Linked DNA regions of Rattus norvegicus. The protein of the gene in region 1 purifies or fractionates together with the protein of each later gene. This does not show direct contact. Links are inferred from orthologs where the notes say so. Each region holds a gene or a part of one and is shown in the gene's direction. Other genes may lie near its edges. The genes, in order: Khdrbs2 and Fbxw11.

What was found.
Region 2: the proteins of Khdrbs2 (region 1) and Fbxw11 purify together in Homo sapiens (affinity purification with mass spectrometry; 3 studies listed by BioGRID and IntAct, counting the BioPlex papers as one, with this or other methods). This does not show direct contact. The link is inferred for Rattus norvegicus from reciprocal best matches to the Homo sapiens genes KHDRBS2 and FBXW11.

Annotation. Positions count from the first base shown.
Region 1 is NC_086027.1:42,149,444-42,159,114, forward strand, and holds part of Khdrbs2 (KH domain-containing, RNA-binding, signal transduction-associated protein 2), read left to right. Parts: intron 1-6,210; coding exon 6,211-6,357; intron 6,358-9,671. UniProt on the Homo sapiens protein: RNA-binding protein that plays a role in the regulation of alternative splicing and influences mRNA splice site selection and exon inclusion. Binds both poly(A) and poly(U) homopolymers. Phosphorylation by PTK6 inhibits its RNA-binding ability.
Region 2 is NC_086028.1:17,811,607-17,821,277, forward strand, and holds part of Fbxw11 (F-box/WD repeat-containing protein 11), read left to right. Parts: intron 1-2,148; coding exon 2,149-2,335; intron 2,336-3,738; coding exon 3,739-3,829; intron 3,830-9,671.

The DNA of each region.
Region 1 (9,671 bases):
AGCATTCACATTTTGATCATCCGTCTTGAGTTTCATTTGTTCTAGGCATCTAGGGTAATTCAAGCATTTGGGCTAATAGCCACTTATCAATGAGTGCATACCATGTGTGTTTTTCTGTGATTGGGTTACCTCACTCAGGATGATATTTTCCAGTTCCAACTATTTGCCTACGAATTTCATAAAGTCATTGTTTTTGATAGCTGAGTAATATTCCATTGTGTAGATGTACCATATTTTCTGTATCCATTCCTCTGTTGAAGGGCATCTGGGTTCTTTCCAGCTTCTGGCTATTATAAATAAGGCTGCGAAGAACATAGTGGAGCACGTGTCTTTTTTATATGTTGGGGCATCTTTTGGGTATATGCCCAAGAGAGGTATAGCTGGATCCTCAGGCAGTTCAATGTCCAATTTTCTGAGGAACCTCCAGACTGATTTCCAGAATGGTTGTACCAGTCTGCAACCCCACTAACAATGGAGGAGTGTTCCTCTTTCTCCACATCCTCTCCAGCATCTGCTGTCACCTGAGTTTTTGATCTTAGCCATTCTCACTGGTGTGAGGTGAAATCTCAGGGTTGTTTTGATTTGCATTTCCCTTATGACTAAAGATGTTGAGTTAACCTAAAAACTAAATTAGCATGTAACACAAACACTCCACCTTTTGCGTTCATCAAAGCAAGCTTATTTGAAACTTTTGAGATAATATTATCTCAAGTGAATTTAATGTTAAAAATATGCAATTGACCTAAAAATGTAACTTTGTAGTCAGGTGCATCATGTTCCAGAATTCAAACCCTTAAAACAAAACCATAATCAAGTGATTTGCTCCCTCCCAGGGGAACAGGGTAAGCTCTAACTTCTCTGGTATTAAAACATATGGCAGGGACTTACACTTGAAACTTATCTGCATTACTAAGTATCATCATTGCATGAAAATCTAAAGCTGATTTGCTTGCTTACCATAAGTTTTTTATTTATCTGAAGTGGGAGAAGAGCTCACTATATTTGCCTGCTTGGGTGTTCAACACTGGCTTCTCTTGTTTTAGCTCCAGGGTAGTAGGGATTGCAGACATACATCACCAAAGCAACTTAGATTTCCCTCTTGCCAGGATGAAATGCTAAAACTCACCCAACATACAGAAAACACCATGGCGTTTAATTCACATCCAGATTGCACAGTTTCTAAAAATCATTTCCTGTTTCTTGCACTCTTTTCAAAGTCTGTTGTCCTGGAAATATATGACAGAACACAATCTTTTGGAAAACCATATTTCCAAACACTTGTGTTTTAATTACCAGAACTAAATGCAAGCCAGAGGTGAATTCCAACAATTTAAACCTGGAAACAAGTCTAGTCATTGTCATGTCTAAACCGTATATTGTTTTAGTTTGTTGTGCTACAAGGAAAATGCCTAGAAATCCACTCAGTATTTTCTGATGGGTCAAGTTGAGTACATGTAACTCAGTATATGGGAAAGGACTCTCTTTTCTGGAGATGTTCCCTGGTGGATATTGATAAGATCCTGAGTCAATATAGTGATATGCCTGCCTCAGCTTACACAGGTTGCTCCTTTAAGTCACATTTGGGCTTCTATTCAAAGGATGCTTTGTAAGTTAAGTTGTGATGCATAGTTTAAATGGCAACATGGTATAGTGAATATCAATTGAGAAGAAAGTCTCAATGGAGGAATGATCTCAGGTAAAACTGGCTCAGGTAAAGGACAACATTGAATTGGGGCTGGCTTACAGATTCAGAGGTTCAGTCCATTATCATCAAGGCAGGAGCATGGCAGCATCCAGACAGGCATGATGCAGGAGGAGCTGAGAGTTCTATATCTTCACTGGATGGAAGCCAGAAGCAGACTGGGCATCCTCGGGCAGCTAGGAGGAGGGTCTCCAAGCCCACCCCCACAGTGACACACTTCCTCCAACAAGGCCATACCTTCTAATAGTGCCTCTCCCTGGGCCAAGCATATGCAAACCATCACTGTGTGTATGTGTGTGTTTGTGTGTGTGTGTGTGTGTGTGTGTGTGTGTGTGCGTGTGTGTGTAGAAAACAAAATGTTTGGAGGCATAGCTGAATGTAAGCTGCCCAATATTGTTTCCAGGAACACAGCTCCTATTCTCTAACAAAGCAACAAGTACCATTAAGCGCTGAGTTTCGCCCCAGCCTCCTTAATATATATTGTTAAAATCTGTGCAAGGATCCTCCTCATTGTTCAGAAATTTTGTCTCATGTTAATAGTGATGGTGGGCTGCCTTAGTGCAGAATAAAAAAGGACACAGTTGCAGCAGCAGCAACTGTAATAGAACCGTGTCTACTTTACATCATGATCATGAGAAAGCATCTCATACCTTATATTACTTTTTTGCTGAGTAACTCATGTCTTTTTATTGGAGAAATGTCTCTGGTCCAATGCTGGATCCAGCATTGCTGTTTAAGGGGAGGTGTCACACATTTCCTGCCCCTGGAGCATCCCAAAGCCATTGATCCCCACATGTGCTGATGACTGATGCCCTAAAACTGACCTGCTTTCTCTTTCATTTCATCTTCAATCACTCTTTTGGGGGAACTTACTTCCCCCATTCCTCAGAGCTAATGACTCCATAATAAATGAAACAGATGTGGCTCTCAAGATTGAGGAATTGAGGTGATCACGAGATTGTGAAAGACAAAGAACAGGCCTTCTGCTGGGCCTTCGAAGGCATGCGGAAGGATCTAGACAACATAACCACAGAGGCCGTAAAAGCCTACATGCTCCTTTGTAGAATGGTTCATTGCCAGACTTGGACTTGAATTTGGAATTAGGAGGAGATGCTTGTACCATCTGCCTCAATGACTGCTACAGTCATTAGCCAGGGTGAACTTGGGGACATCAAGGGACGAGAGTCTCAAGATGAAAAGTCATGGATAGGAAAAGAAGAAATCTATAAATGCAAGCAAATGATAGGTGAGCTTGTCTTATAGGAGAAAGGCTTATATATGATCTAGAAATAAATACTATTAGAAAGAGAGTACATGGAGCTCTGGGTTTGCTAGGATAGGAATCAAGGATTGGAGAATTATAAGATGATGCACAAGCAAATAAAAAGTTAGTGCTTTGTTCTCCTGGAAGACAGGATATGGCAATTTAGATTGAAGGAGATATTAAAGATAGCTGCATGCTTTAAGTGCATAAATTTTAAAATTTTGTAAGAGATTATTTTAATCTTAGTAGTCTATCACTGTTCTGTTTTTACATGAAGGGGATTACTAAAGACCGCTGTCTGCTGTACCAAGAAACCTCAAGAGCTGTGCCCAGCTACTTGTGAAGAGTAGACTGTGTAAAACTATAAGAAAATGTGCTTTTGCTTTGAGTTTAGTTTCTGTTTTAAGGAAGCAGGGCTCTGGGATTCATAAAATTTAAGTAAATTTAAGGATTTCCAAAAAAAAAATCCTTAACAATATTCAAACCTTGATGATGTAGGTTTGGTTAAAAAAATCTGGGTTCAGTCTCTCTGGTAGGGAGAAGGCAAAGGATGAGAAGGGAGAAGGAAGAAAGGAGAGGCAAGAATGATGAGAATCCTCAGGTAAAGAGCGAGCCCTTGAGCTGACTGAATGCTTCCACAACTGACTCCTGGTCATTGTTGAATCACCGCTGCTCCCATATCCCCTTCTCAGGACCCTCCTTACACTGAGGCTGGTTCTCAGCAGTTAGAGCACTTTCTGCTCTTGAAGAGGACCTCGGTTCAGCATCCAGTATGAACACAATGGCACCCAACCACCAGTTTCTGCAGTTTCAGGGTACCCGATACCCTCTTCACTGGCCTTCATGGGCAAAAGGCATAAACTTCATATACATTTGTTCAGACAAAACACACATACATATAAAAGAAAAATAAATGTATCTTATAAAGTAATCCATGCATTCTTGGAACTACACTGTCCACACATGCAGGGTACCACTGAACACCTATAATTTTGTTTTGTGATGTATGTATGTGCTATTAATCAGTGAACCATCTCTCCAGTCCCTGGCCTCCTTTTTTAGTAGTTTGGAACCACTTAACCATTGAGTTTCCATAAAACCTTTTAATATATCTTTAACATTGATTATTCTAAACAAGAACTTCCTCTCCCTTCTTGCTCCAGCCCCCTCGCCCAACTTTGTCTTTTAGTTGCAGGTACCTCTCTTCTCTTCCATAGTATATATATATATATATATATATATATATATATATATATATATATATATATATATATATATATTTTCCCTACCTCTTAGCTCCTCCACATGATGATACTCCTGCCTGCCAGAGTCTTTCTACCCCCACATAGCATTCACCTCTTTAGTTATCCTGATCTACAATCTCCTATTCCTTTCCTTCACTTATGTCTCTTGCCAATAACTTTTTTCTATTAATTTCTCTGGCTTCTGCCTGGGATACAACTTACACATGCCAAACACTAAGTCTGAAGTGAGAATTCCACTTACAAGAGGGAACCTCTGCTTTTTGTCCTTCATGGCTTTGCATATTAGGATCTATTGATGTTCTATTCAGTTACCTGAACATTGGGCTATTTTGGTCTCCAATAACAGCTGAGTGATATATATATATATATATATCATATTTCTATTACATTCTTATCTTGTTTATGAATGTCTAGGTCAGGTACATTTCTAGCTAGTGACAAGAGAGTGGCAGTTGAAGTGTCTCTGTAAAGATAGAAAGTCTTTGCGTGTATGCCCTGGAGTATAGGCCCATATGGCACTTCTAGTTTTTGAGAAACTTCTGGTCTAAATTCTACAGTGGCTACACTAGCTTTCACTCCCATCAAAAGTGTAAACCATTCCACCTTTATCACATCCACATATGCAGGGTTGGCATTACCTTCACAATGATGGCCATTCAAACTGGAATAAGATGGCCTTTTAAACTAGACCTTATTTCTGTTTCCCTAATGACTTTGACTGGGATTATTTTTAAAGATGCTTTTGAGCCCCCTTTATTTCTTAAGCAAAGTTTGTTCAATTTGAAATTCTAACGGTATTGGTTTGGTTTAACTTTTTTGTTAGTCTGTTTGGTTTTCTTTTTTTTCTCTGTGATAATTTTGGCAACGGGGGAACTGGCTGAAAGAGGAAACCTTGTTTCCCACCATTTCTTTCATGTAATTTCAGCTAATATTAAAACTCTGATGTTCCTGTACAACTCAATGAAAATCTACTTATTATTCGAAAAGTACTTTACACCAGACAGGAAAGAACCTTGTTCTCCCAAAAATGCAATGATGTTTCCAGAAACATCATTCCAGAAACTGCCCTTAGATGCCTTGGCTTCATGAGGTTAACATTTCATCAAACTGATTAAAAATTGTGTGGTTGAGGACAATGGCAGGTTTCTTCAAAATCCACATGAAGCTCAACAAGAAGGACGACCAAACTTCAGATGCTTCAGTCCTTCTTAGAAGGGGGAACAAAAATAGTCATAGGAGGAGACATGGAGACAAAGTTTGGAGCAGAGACTGAAGGAATAGCCATTCAGAGCCTACCCCACCTGAGGATCCATATACAGCCACCAAACTCAGAAAACACTGATGATGTCAAGAAGTGCATGCTGACAGGAGCCTGATATAGCTGTGTCCTGAGATGCTCTGCCGTAACATGACAAATACAGAGGCAAATGTTAGCAGCCAACCATTGAACTGAGAATGGTGTCTCCATTGGAGGAGTTAGAGAAAGGATTATGGAGCTGAAGGGATTTGTAACCCCGTTAAAAACAACAATATCAACCAACCAGAGCTCCCAGGGACTAAAGCACCATTCAAAGAGTACACATGGACAGATCCATGGTTCTAGCTACATATGGAACAGAGAATGGCCTTGTTGGGCACCAATGGGAAGAAAAGCCCTTTGTCCTATCAAGGCGGGACAACCTCCCCTCCCCACCCCGTGTAAGGAATGTCAGGTGAGGTGAGAAGGAGTGGGTGGTTGGGTGGGGGAAAGCAGATAACATTTGAAATTAAATAAAAAATATCCAATAAAAAATGAAAAGGGAAAAAATATCCAAATTTGAAAATGGTTAACCAACTTGCAGTGAAGTTTTATTTCTCAAAGAATTTCTTTCCACCTTTGGAAAATTTGCTTAGATTATGGCCCTTTGTCATATTCTCAGGAAATGTTAAATCAATGTAAAATGAGTGCATCCATATTTCTAAATATAACTTCTTTACAGGAAGAAGAGCTGAGGAAGAGTGGGGAGGCCAAGTATGCCCACCTGAGTGACGAACTGCACGTATTAATTGAAGTGTTTGCTCCACCCGGGGAAGCTTACTCACGGATGAGTCATGCTTTGGAAGAGATTAAAAAATTCCTGGTTCCTGTAAGTGACTTTGATTTTACAAATGGTTCCTTATCAGTTTCTATTTTAAGTTGTGTCTTTGATCTCCATTGATTTTTGAAAGTGACTTCACATTGCACATTAGTTATCTATGCATAGATTATTCCGACAAAAGTATTCACCACCAACCAGTTATATAGTATACACGAGTCCACAGCCAGGAAGAATAAGAATAATAAGAATAACAAGCAAAGATACATTATTTATGCCACATTTCCCTGCTTTGAGCCCTTGACATGTAGTTTGAAAATTTATAATTAGTACAAAAGGTATAATTAAAAAGGGATGGAATTGAATATTATTTATAATAAAACATTCACAGTACTTTAGAATAGTTAATGATTTTTATGTGACAGTATGTCAGGTGCTGGCTGATACAAAATAGCACATAAGATCATGTTAATGAAGGCAGATAAATGTCAACTTAAAAAGTTAGAAATATAAACTCACTAGGCAGTGTGAGCATAATGGGGGATGCTCACCTGCCAATTCAACTGCAAGTTGAATGGAGTTCTCTGCTGATAAAGAAGAAGTAGGAGGAGGTAAGTGCACGGAGTCTTAAGGATGAAAAAGGAGCATTCTAGGAAGAGGTCTTTCAATAGAAATCTTGCCATGAGTTTTAGTGCTGCGGTATTGAGAGACTGCTGAGTAATGTTCCGTGGACGATCTTGGGGAAATCCTGAGCTCAGAGAGTGGTTCTCTGAGATTCATCTGCAAAGGAAGAAACTAGGGGTTTGAACACTCAGTAAAAACTTCAAAGAATATTCCATTTTTGGTTTATTGATTAGTAATAACATTGAAAACTGGGAAGCAAAAGTATCTTAGAATTTTCTAGGTGTATAAACATTAAGGTCTATCCACGTTTTCTAGTCACATGTCCGACCCAAACATTAATCTTTGTCAAGACACGATTGCAGAATAATGCCTCACTAAGTTGAGTATTTCTTAACTTCAGGAACACGGTTATTAATTGGGTCTCATCATCTGGAAACCTTCCTAAATATATCCCATTCTCAAGATGGATGAACCTACATTCTTTCTTCCATTGGTTTCCAAGGGAATATTTAGCGCTAGGCTGAGTAAGCCATTTTAGTCAATTTACTACAGAACAGAACAGATACATGTATGTGCAGTGAGGCCAGGACTGCTTATATCACAAATTTATTGTATAGCTTTAGCTAAGTTACTTAAGTTAGCATCCGTTTGTGCATCTTCAAAATGAAAGTGATCACAGCTTAATTAGTCACAACTAGTATCAATATCAAACAGGATAATACATGCAAAGGGGATTAAAATAGGAAAACACTGTAGAAATGTACTTTTAAGTCTATTATAGTAGAAAAACTTTCTGAGGTAAAATGTGTTAGACACAGTAATATGACTTTTTTTTGGATATATATTCTTTCCTCCCTTTAAACTTTCTCATATAATGCTCCCTGATCTACTTCAAGTTCTTGGCCTCTTTTTAACCAATTGTTCTTTTATTCCTACTTATTTTATTCCAATCTTTATACTGTTCATTTTAGCATGTCTTTGATGCATATATTTTGAACATAGAATGCATGGTAAGTCCATGCCCTTGCATACTGAATGTAAATGATATGTATCACTTTCTTATATATTATACCTTGTAATCAGTCCATTTCTAAATTATGCACTAAAACATGAATGCTTGGCATGCTTGGCAATTTCTTTCTGTGCCAACATTGTCTCTTCTCCATTTAGCAGGGTTTTCTCAGTTTTTCTAATGCTGCATCCCTTTTACAGTTGTGCTGGCCCCGAACAACAAAATCATTGTCATTGCCCCTTCATACCATGATGTCATGTAAATACCTGTGTTTTGCAATATTCCTATGTAACCCTGTGAAAGAGTCATTCAAACTCCACAGGCAGAGAATGGCTGTTAGCACCTTTGCTAACAGTGTTTTTCTGAAATGACTGAACCAAATTTAGCAGAAAAGCACACAAGGCAAATGCAGTTAGGCCACATGTCTAATCCATGGGGACCATTTAAATATAGGCTCTACCCTGCCTCTGCCATATCTGTGAATTCTGCTCTGTAATCCACTTGTCTCATCCTGTGTTCTTTTATTCTTTTTGGCTCTTGCTTATGCAACATAGAAGCTCACTGCTAACTCTAGAGGCTTGGAGTTTCTTCTCAAAACTTAACATGTCTGTTCCTTTCCCTTTTAGCATCTTCTCAAATCTTACATGCATAGGAACTTCTTCAACCTCAAATCTAAAGTAGCTTCCTTGGTGGCTTTCTACCAGGCAGTGCTGTTGTGACAGGCCCATACATCACTGATAACTCCATTCAAAATAGTGATTCACTGTCCTTACCCTCTCTCCCTATTTATTTCTCTCACAGTTTTTTATTATAATCATATCTTATATAGAGTGATATGGAGGAAGATTGTAAATGATAGATGGATAAATGGATAGATAGATGGTAGAATATAATAGATAGATGACAGATACATACATACTTACATACATACATACATACATACATACATACATACATACATACATACATGCACAGACCTCTTTATGGTTTGTTTACCTCTTAGAACATGAGTGTCCTGAGGGTTGTGGCTGTGAACCTATTCCCCAATAATTTTTATAGGCCATACCATTTGTGACAGTCCTTCTGAATGTTTCTCTTTTTCCCTTTCTTAGCTCCAGGCAAAGGATAGTATTTCTTTACCTTATCTATTACCAGAACCACAAAGAGATTAGATAGATAGATAGATAGATAGATAGATAGATAGATAGATAGATAGATAGATAGATAGATAGATGATGACAACATCACAAGACATTAATATTTATAAACATCAGAGGTGACAATTCATATCAGGAAGTTGGATGCTAGAACAATACAGAAGACCTATTCAGGCCAGAACTCTGACATTCTACTGACATCTTCTTCCTCTGTAAAGTTGTATCTTTTCATCATAGGAACTTTTCATCTTCTCCTTGTTATATTAGATATAATTACTAAACCTGCCTATGTCCATAGGCTACAGTCATCAGAAATACCAGTATGAGTTCAGGAAATCCCTTATGAAATGCTTTATGATGGAAGAAACCAACTCACTTCCTTCAACTAAATTAGGTGTTGAAGAAAACACTGTTGAAGAAAGGTGTTGAAGAAAACTTGAGTAGTTACTGAAACTAGTATGAATGCTTCCAAATTAAAATCTGTAATGCTTAAGTCCATATTATTAAATGGAACATTGCCAATTTTAAACTTTTAATGTTTTAAGAATAAACTCTACCAAAATTATTCATTA
Region 2 (9,671 bases), on another chromosome or scaffold:
AGTATTACCAGAGTCATCAGGAATAGCCTGCAGGGGAGCGCCACCGTCCTGGGTGCTGTCCTTGGTTCTGACCCGTTCCCCATCTTTGTAGTCAGCTGCGGGTAAAGGTGGTCTGCTCCTTATGTAGTCTGCCGAGAAATATCCGTTTTCTGGATGCTAAAAACCAGAATTCTCGAGACTGCAGTGGCCGGGCCACGTGGAAATGTTGAAGCTGAATTACGGTAGGGATAAGCAGGAAGTGCTGTGATCCTGTCCCACTGGTGGGCAAGTCAGAATTGAAGGGAATCAATCATTTTAATAGCAACTGGGGAGAAGGACATGGGATTTATTTTAACTTGTAACCGTCTCAGGAGCCTGCTCTGATATGGCCCTTAGGGGCAGGAGGTCAGTCTTTGATTGTGTGACCCTAAGGTAATTCAAGTAAACAGCATAGCAGTGGTGCCTCGGGTGGAGCTGGGTCTTAGATCCAGTCCAGGATAGAATCAGTATATGAAAGGCTTGGGGCTGTCATCAGCAGTGTGACCATGTCACTCTGAGACAGTAAGGCAATCTCCATTTGTGAAACATCCCCGCCTCCAACTAAAATGTCAGGCATGGGCGCCCACCACATCTGGGTGGACAGAATTCCTTACGCGTCATTTTGTGTCGATTCTCACAGTCAGCCTTTCTTGACCACACTCTGTGAGGAGGGGATGGAGGCAGCAGCCGCTGCTACTGAGGCAGGGTTGTTTCAGTGTCTGGTTTGCGTCATGCGACCAGCAGCGCACACTGAACTTGGGACATGGAATGTGGATGTTCCACACTTGGGGATGAGGAGTGCTTTCTGTAGCCACAGAGCGACACCTACAAGTACAAGAAGGAATGCAACAGGCAGTGACAGTGCTACCCATGGTGCTCTTCCATGGCAAAGCTCAGGCAGAGCTGGACCTTGAGTGAACTTCTCTGCAAGGCCCTTGCATTTTCCTCTTATTTCTGCCATGTGTGTGTGTGTGTGCGTGCGCATGCCTGTGTGTGTGTGTGTGTGTGTGTGTGTGCGTGTGTGCGTGTGTGTGTGCACGCGTGCCTGTGCCTGTGTGTGTGTGTGCACGCATGCCTGTGCCTGTGTGTGTGTGCACGCGTGCCTGTGCGTGCGTGTGTGTGTGTGTGTGTGTGTACCACAACACTCCCAACTCTATGGAGGTGAAAGAACAACTTTTGGGAGTTGGTTATGTCCTTCCACTCTGGGTTCCTCAGGTCTGTAGATCGAGCAGGCTCTTCCCAAAGTCCTGGAGTGAGTGAGGAAGCAGGACATTGCTCTGAGGGTTCTTACCCATCTGCTCAGAACAGAAAGCAGTTCTTTGTCAGAGGAGATTAGAAGACTGACATGAACACTTACCTTTCTTTACTTTCAGTTTTTTAGATTTATTTATTTTATGTATGTGAGTACACTGTAGCTGTCTTCAGACACACCAGAAGAGGGCATCTGATCCCATTTCAGATGGTTGTGAGCCACCATGTGGATGCTGGGAATTGAATTACTACTCTTCTGGAGCAGTGCTCTTAACCTCGGAGCCTTCTCTCTAGCATGACTTGAACACTTTTTAAATCTTCATATGTTTTAAAAAATGGGTCAGTCTTGCCATTTGGTCCCATGGCTGTCAAGAGTTCATGGTGGAGTGTGGTTTATTGCTCATGTTCACAATATGAGCAAAAGCACAGGTTTTGAAGCAAGACAGCATGAGTTCCCATTCTGGCTTCACTACAGAGCACAGCCCAAGAGCTTTCCCTCTGTGTTCCTTGGCTGTAACTTTGGAGAACCATTGGCCTTTTAAAGTTCAGCAGAAAAATGGGGAGGGGCTTCTGAGAATTCCAAGGACAGAGCTGTCCCAGGGCAGCTGTCATGGCAAGACAGTTCCTGAGCCTTTCCATGCTTTGCTTGTGCTTATTGTGCCTGCCTTAAGAGTTACTTACCGGGGTTGGGGATTTAGCTCAGTGGTAGAGCGCTTACCTAGGAAGCGCAAGGCCCTGGGTTCGGTCCCCAGCTCCAAAAAAAAAAAAAGAACCAAAAAAAAAAAAAAAAAAAAAAGAGTTACTTACCTTTTCCTTTGGAGTAAGGACTGGTCTGTGCACTGCCCTACCCACTCCTTCCCTTGATTTTCTGTGTTGTAGAGCAAGGCTTAGATCACATAGCAGAGAACATTCTTTCCTACCTGGATGCCAGGTCTCTGTGTGCAGCAGAGCTGGTGTGTAAAGAGTGGCAGCGGGTGATCTCCGAGGGGATGCTTTGGAAGAAGCTGATCGAGAGGATGGTGCGCACCGACCCTCTCTGGAAGGGACTCTCAGAAAGAAGAGGCTGGTAAGTACGGGCTTGTTTGGAAAACGTTCCTGTGGTGTACTGTCAGCTTGATTACTCAGGCAAATGCTTGTGAATGTGTAGTCTGTTTCAACAAGGAAGAAAATGAAAGTCTAAGCTGTTAGAGGCTCCTCCTCTGACACGGGTTTGTTGGTACAAAGGTTTTAAGGCCTCAGGTGGGTGACACATTCATCTTTTTAAAGCTCTAAATGTGTGCTTCCTCCCATCATAGACAGGTAAGAGAGCTGGAGCTAGAGAAATCCATCAGTGGTTAACATGGGCTGTTCATTCAGAGGACCTCGATTCAATTCCCAGCACCTACCTAGTAGCTTACAACAGTCTGGTGCTCTAGTTCCAGAGGATCTGATGCCCTCTTCTGGCCTCCATGGGGAGCAGGCACACATGTGGTGCACAGACTTATACACAAGCAAAACCCCCACACATAAAACAAATTGTTAAAGGAAAATATGAGAGTCTAGTAATGTTACTTAGTTTTGTAATTGCTAGGATTGAACCAACTGCTCTGTCACTGAGCTATTCCAGCAGCCTGAGTTAGGCCATTTCTGTGTTTACTGCTGTGCACGGGGAAGAGTGGAAACACACCATGGGGTTTCTAGGAAAGCCCATGAGCTTAGATGCAGTTTGATAGCTTGCATTGTCAGTGATCCGGCTCAGTCAGCATAGAGAGTTACAGTCAGGCACAAGAAGGGAAGATGGAGGGCGACGCTGCATTTTCCATATGGGGGAAATGTAATGTGAAATAAGACGATTCACAGACGTCGTTAGCACTTACTCTCCATGTGGGTGCAGTCTGACAGAACTCCACACTGGACGGCACAGTCCTGCGGAGGAAGGACTGAGTGTGGCTAATGGGCATGAGGAATTTTGAAAAGGGATAGCAAGCTAATTGTTCTCCTGATTGTAACTCTAGCATGGAGTTTTCGTTTTTCGTAGTGGATAAGACATAAAGATATATTTGATCCTGAAAGTGTGAAGTCTAGTGTGAAGTTCATGGCTTCAGAATGCCTATTGTAATTTTTAAGACATTCATTAAAATGTATAGACTTTGCGACTGCTTCATTTCCTTGTGTCCTATTGTTGTTGTTGTTGTTTTTTTTTTTTTTTTTTGCAAGCTTTTACAAATAAAGTTTAAGGGGGAAAAAGCTCTAAAATGAGAGCTTAATTATCTGTGTGATGGACAGCACTCGAAAGACAAAAGACCAGCGTCATGCCAGAGCTAGATTGTGTCTACCATGGGAACTGTAGCTTGTTAGAGCCCCTCCCTTTGACAGTTGACACTAGTGCAAGGAAAAGACACGGACCTCGGGCTGTTCTCATAAGATGCTTAAGTGAAATCCCTTCTCTTATATGCAAAAACGTAACATGTGTTTGTTTTCATTTGCCAGGGATCAGTACCTGTTTAAAAACAGACCTACAGATGGCCCTCCCAACTCATTTTATAGATCATTATACCCAAAGATTATCCAGGACATAGAGGTAACTGTTTACTTAATTGTCTCACACCCTTGGGGGCTTGTTCTCAATTTTTTATATTGTTTCAAAGTCCTTTTGTTCTAAACTCATGGAACTCGCACTTTTAAAAGTTGAGTTTTGGACATGAATGTCACAGTGTGTAATCTGTAGCTGCTCTTCAGAGCTGAACTCACCTTTTGATCGAAACACAACTTCTCTAAAACACAGAATGCTTCTGTAAGGCTGCCAGTTAATTAAAACCTTAATCCAAGATAAACTGTATTCTAATTTGATAAATTTTCTACAATCCAAGGCCCAGTTTTTTAGGTGAATGTACTTTTGTATTTTTGAGTCATCTCTGGAAGGCATGTATGGAGTCTACTCTTAGGTCATGCATAAGTTTTCATAAAAATGGCTCAGGTTATTCTAAGCTGTTATGAAACGGGCTTTGTGAAGCAGGTTATGCTTTGGGGCCGTTGTGAAGTTGACTTCAGTGACCAGCAGAGCTCTGTGCTTTTGCTAAGAGATGTTAGCCATGTTTGATATTGTCGGTGTGCTCTAATTCACTTTGATTATTAAGCCCTTTCCCTTAAACCAGGATAGGCACGCCCAGGTACTTCTTCATTAACTCTTTCATGTATGTTCTTAATCTCTCCACTGTGTCCTCTGTGGCAGAGAAGGTGAGCTTTCGATGGCCAGTGTTGTATCTCCCATAAAGTTGCAGCCAGTTTCCAAAGTGGGAAGTAATCCTCTTCCCCAGGTGATGAACATAAAAGTTATTATGCCAAAATTCCCTACTGGAGAGCCATGTGCTTTTGTGGAGTTCATCCCTGCTCCTTCTCAGGCAGATGTGAACTAATGGATCCATCCCATTAATGGTACATCTGTGTGTATGCTCTCTAAAACGACTTAAAAACTAACCTTTTAGGGAGGGCTCAATAATTTTAAACCATGGCCACATAAAGTTTAGGAATTAATTGACTTATTGTTCAGAACTTGGACTAACGTCCTGCAGGACTTAGTGGGCGACATAGAGCAGACCGCCATTACAGGTTAGGGCTTGTGTATTTCAGGAGGGAAGGGGCTGCTCTAGGTTGGCGCACCAAGACACTGTGTGCATGCACATCTTAGAAATGCCCTTCTGTTCTTTGGCAGAGTCTGTCGACAGACTCTCCTACTTTATGAGTGGTCTCAATGCAGCGTTCCTTCTGAGGGGGTGTTGTTTAAAGTCACTCATTAATAAACAGGAATTCTGGAGAACCTTTATCAGATTGAGGTTTGGTGATTTAGATTATTTTATTTAGTTGTCATGACTACGTTATAATTGACAGGATGACAGCACTTACCATAACCATTTCCTCAGGCAGAAAAAATACTTTACAGCTAGCAGAGGAGGCAGATGTGACGGGAAATGGAGCCATGGGGAAACACAGTTTGACACAAAACCTCTGCATCATGGTGGTCTTCCCAGTGGTTCTTACAGTGTGGTTTGGGAAAACCCAATGCCTGGCCACAGAGTCTCCTCCAAATTTTTGTGGCTAAGTTTCTTAGTATGAGGGATGACGCTTATACTTCAGTGTACTCACTAATAGTAATAGTGACAGAAACAGTGTACCACTGATAGGACACTTACTTGATACTTTGTTTAGTAGTGTATAGCATACCTTTTCATTCAGTAGTCTAGATACCCTGGAAAGTAGGTCAACTCCACACCGAAAATCTAGGAAACACGGCTGACAAGGTAAAACTGTTAACCCTGGATCACAGTGAGTGGTGCAGCCCCCACACTCTAACGGACACATTATTGAGTGGCACAGTCCACAGCCATCCATATACTCTAACAAACACAGTTACTGAGTGCTAGAGCCCACTACCAACCACGTACTCTGGCTCTTCATACAAGACCCTTTAGGAGTGTGCTGTGCTCTGTCAGGGCAGGCATAAATGTGGAAGTTCTCTCTGTGATCATATCTGTGAGGCACACAGATGAGCTTGTCCATGATGACTGCGGTGAAAATATCACCTGCAAGGCACCTCGATTGTCACTCCTGTAGTCTACCATGAACTGTGAGGGGACTTACACATATAAAAGCAATAATTTTGCAAGGTCTGTATCATGCCATATCGTATCATCTCATCTCATCTCATATCATATCATATATCATACCATATCATATCATATCACAAAGGGACACTGAGACTAAAAGAAGTTTTAGAATGTGCTACATAGGAGAGGTGACTTTTAGCTCAGGCCAGTCTAGCCCTGGGTTTACAGTTAGTGGTTTGCTATTTCCAAAGTAGAAAGTTCAGGAAGCGAAGGAGAAAGGCATGTTTTATTCCAGTAGACTTGTCTTCCTCTAAGAATGTGGATAGTCAGCTCCTTAACTGTTCAGATGAGATCCCTTGGCCTTGCTTTAGTTCTGTTAGGGAAAAGGTAGCGTTGCCCTCGCCTGTGCACAGCTCCCCAGTCTACTATCCCTTCCCTTACACTCCACAGATCGGCTCTCCCTTGACCCCCACTCTTGTTTGACACTGCTCTCCTTGATGGCTTGCTGAAGTACATCATTCTCAGCTTTGGCTATCATGAGCATAGAGGAAAAGGTTCTTCTCCCAACTTTGCCTTTCACATCAAGCCACCAGAAATTGACTGTATTTTAAGGAAAAATAGGCAACCTGGTTTTGTGTGGCTAGCTCCTGCTGTTCAGAAAATGGGGAAGTGAGAGTCACGGTCTGTGGAGAAGAGTTCACATTCTTAACTTTCTGCAAAGGTTCCTCCCTCCTGGGTGTTCTTGCCACATGGAGGGTTTGCAGGCCTCTAAATTGAAAAGGAACTCCTGGTAAACCTGAGGCGTGTCCTGTCAAGAGGCAGCCACACACTCCCTCACTGTCTAGAATCCTTGTCAGTGCTACTTTCAAGGCTCAGTGTCCACTCACCGCAGGGACTTGGTTAGATGAAACTGCCGACTCCCAGGCTCTGTCCGCCCACACTCCCAATGCCTCTGCAGATGGAAGGCTGCTGCTCTTACAAGCAAACTAATGTCTGCCATTCCAGAGTAGTGACTCTGTATATTTACTGGGTAAGTGGCTTTGAAGCACTCTCCTTGGAACTGGTCATGGGGAAAATGGCGGTGTGTTGTATCACACCTTTTAATAAACCACATTTCATTCAAGGAAAGTGGAAAGCTTTTTTTGTGGTTTGCAAACGATATTAACAGAATAGAAACTAAAAATGCTAGAAAATGCTGAAACTTGCCCACCCACTCAGTTATGTTTAGGCTTCTAAAAATAATGTTATTCCTCCATACTCAGACATCTGTTTTCACTCTATTGCCAATTTAAATGCCGCTGTATACTCTGTATATCATGGCTACTCTCCCAGTGTTTTGAGATTTTGCACAGGGTAAGGCGATTTTACAAGTTCCCTACCACGTGAAACCTTCCTCTACAGGAGCGCTGCCGCCGAGCTGGGCTGATGGCGTGGCAGGTGTTAAAGAGGGCTCCCGTATGAGACGGGCCTCGCTGCCGCCGAGCTGGGCTGATAGCTGAGCACCTTGATGGTCCTTGTATGAAGTGCAAGCGGCCAGCAATGACTCAGGCCAGCACAGTCCACTGATGGGGAGAACCCTCTCTTTTAATTACAGCCCACTCTTCTGTCAGTGTCCCAATAGGTGGTGCTGAGCACGTGTTTCATCTTCCGTGGTCCTCTGATAGTTGAGGGAGCAGGGACCAGCTTCATAGAGGTAGAGGCTGATGCTCAGCTGTACCCCTGGCCAAGGCTGCCTGCCAGGCCTGAGGGTGACATTTTGTGAAAACCCGGTTTAGAGGAAGAATTGGAGTGAGAGTTGAGGTTGTCGGACATGGTGGTAGTGTTCTTGGTAAGCATAGTCATCAGCAAGTGCGCTCTCTCTCTCTCTCTCTCTCTCTCTCTCTCTCTCTCTCTCTCTCTGTGTGTGTGTGTGTGTGTGTGTGTGTGTGTGTTGCGGGGGGGAGGCTGGAGAACTAGAGACAAGCAGTCTCAGGAGTGCCCTTGGTGACTGCATGGCCTCCTTGAGACTTCCTGTTGGTTCTGGTGAGCTATACTTACCTTGGACTCAAGAACCTAAAGATTGAAAAACTTGCCCTAAGTAGGGCCTTCCCAGCACGACTCACCAAGAGTCTTCTGAACTTTTCCTTAAAATATAAAAATATCTTAGAAAGTTAAGAACCTTGTGGATGTGGAGAAGCTCAGCCATACAGCCATACCTGGTTTTCTTCTGACTGGAAGGCAAGTGGGCCATCTGGTGGCACTCATGGAAAGAAGCCCTTGCTCTCACAGCTGTCTGAGGCTCAGGATAAATGGGACAGCCCAGCCGTGATACTGACTCTTCTTCATCCAGGCGTTTCAAGAACTGATTCGGCCACCACAGGAGATGGAGACCACAAGGTGCCATCCTGGCTCCTCTCCTCATTCATTCTCTGTGTCCTCAGTGTGTTAGGTGCAGTTAAAAATTATGGCCAGCTCTCTTCCAGAAGATACCTTGATGAGTAGTAGGAAAATGTAGAAGACATCCTCTCAGTTCCTTTATTTGAATGAAGAGCAGTTTTTCCTGTAACTCCATGTGATGTAAATGTGCTTTCTCAGTTCTTCGGCTCACAAAGTACTTTAGATTCACACTGCTGTAAAGCCCCAAGGTATCCATACAATTTAAAAACAACGCCTGGTGTATAGTAAGGTATGCTGTGTGTTCAGTGCTTTGTGTTCAAATGGATCACACACTTCCTATCAACTCTGTTCTTCTCAAAGGACAGCAGCTGAGCATGGGGAACTAATAGGCTAGGAATAGACTCCTTACCGGTGTATCTGGCTTCTTAAGTCAGCATTTCCCTAGAGGGTTTAGCTTGCTAAGATGGCCCAGCCACTACCAAAAATACACTATTTCTCTAGATGTTTCTAAACAATGGGTTTGTTTAAGTAAGATTTTATGCTCTGGATTCCTTTTAAAAGTTGCCATAGAGACTAATTGATGCCTGCTGTGAGGGATGGATGTACAGTGGGATGAGTTAGTTAGTTTTCCTGGCTTTGACATGTATCAGCCACTAGAGACCCTGCCTGGCCTAGGAAATCTTAATGGTAGCAGGTGCACAAAAGAGCTTGTCTATATTGCTGCTGTCTCCCAGGGTTGTACATGTGCCATCCTGCCTGCTGACTGTCCCACTTGTTGAGTGATGGCTCTCTGAGGACCCAGATGTGCCCAGGGCTTGTGCTGAGCACAGAGGTCACAAGGGACAGACACTCGCCCTTTAAATACACTTGCATTGATATTGGTAGGACTAGCTCTAACTCTCTGCTTCTTTCTCTGTATAAATGACTCAGCATTAGATGAAGAACTGGTAGAAATACAGCTGGTCCTCTGTATAACTGGTTTCACAGACTCACCTGCCACAGTGGAAAGTAATTAGAAACATTACAAATGTACTGAACATGGACAAGATCTTTTCTCTCTCCTTTGGTTGTAATTCCCTAAATATTATTAGCATCACAAGTATTTATATAACATTTATTTTGAGTCAGGCATGGTAGCCCACACCTCTAATCTCAGCAATTGGGAGCCAGAGGTATGTGGATCCCTGAGTTCCAGGACAGCCAAGGCTATACAGAGAAACCCTGTTTCAAAAAGAACAACAACAAAATCTCAAAAATTCTCCAGTATTTGTATCATATTTATTATTAAAGCTCATCTAGAAATAATTTAAAGTATATATGAGGATTGCATAGGTATATGAAGATAATATGCCATTTAATTAAATGAGACAAGAAGATTGAGAGTTTAAAGTCAGCACTGGCTACATAGTAAGGAGTGCCCTTAAAAAGGCAAATCGCAAAACA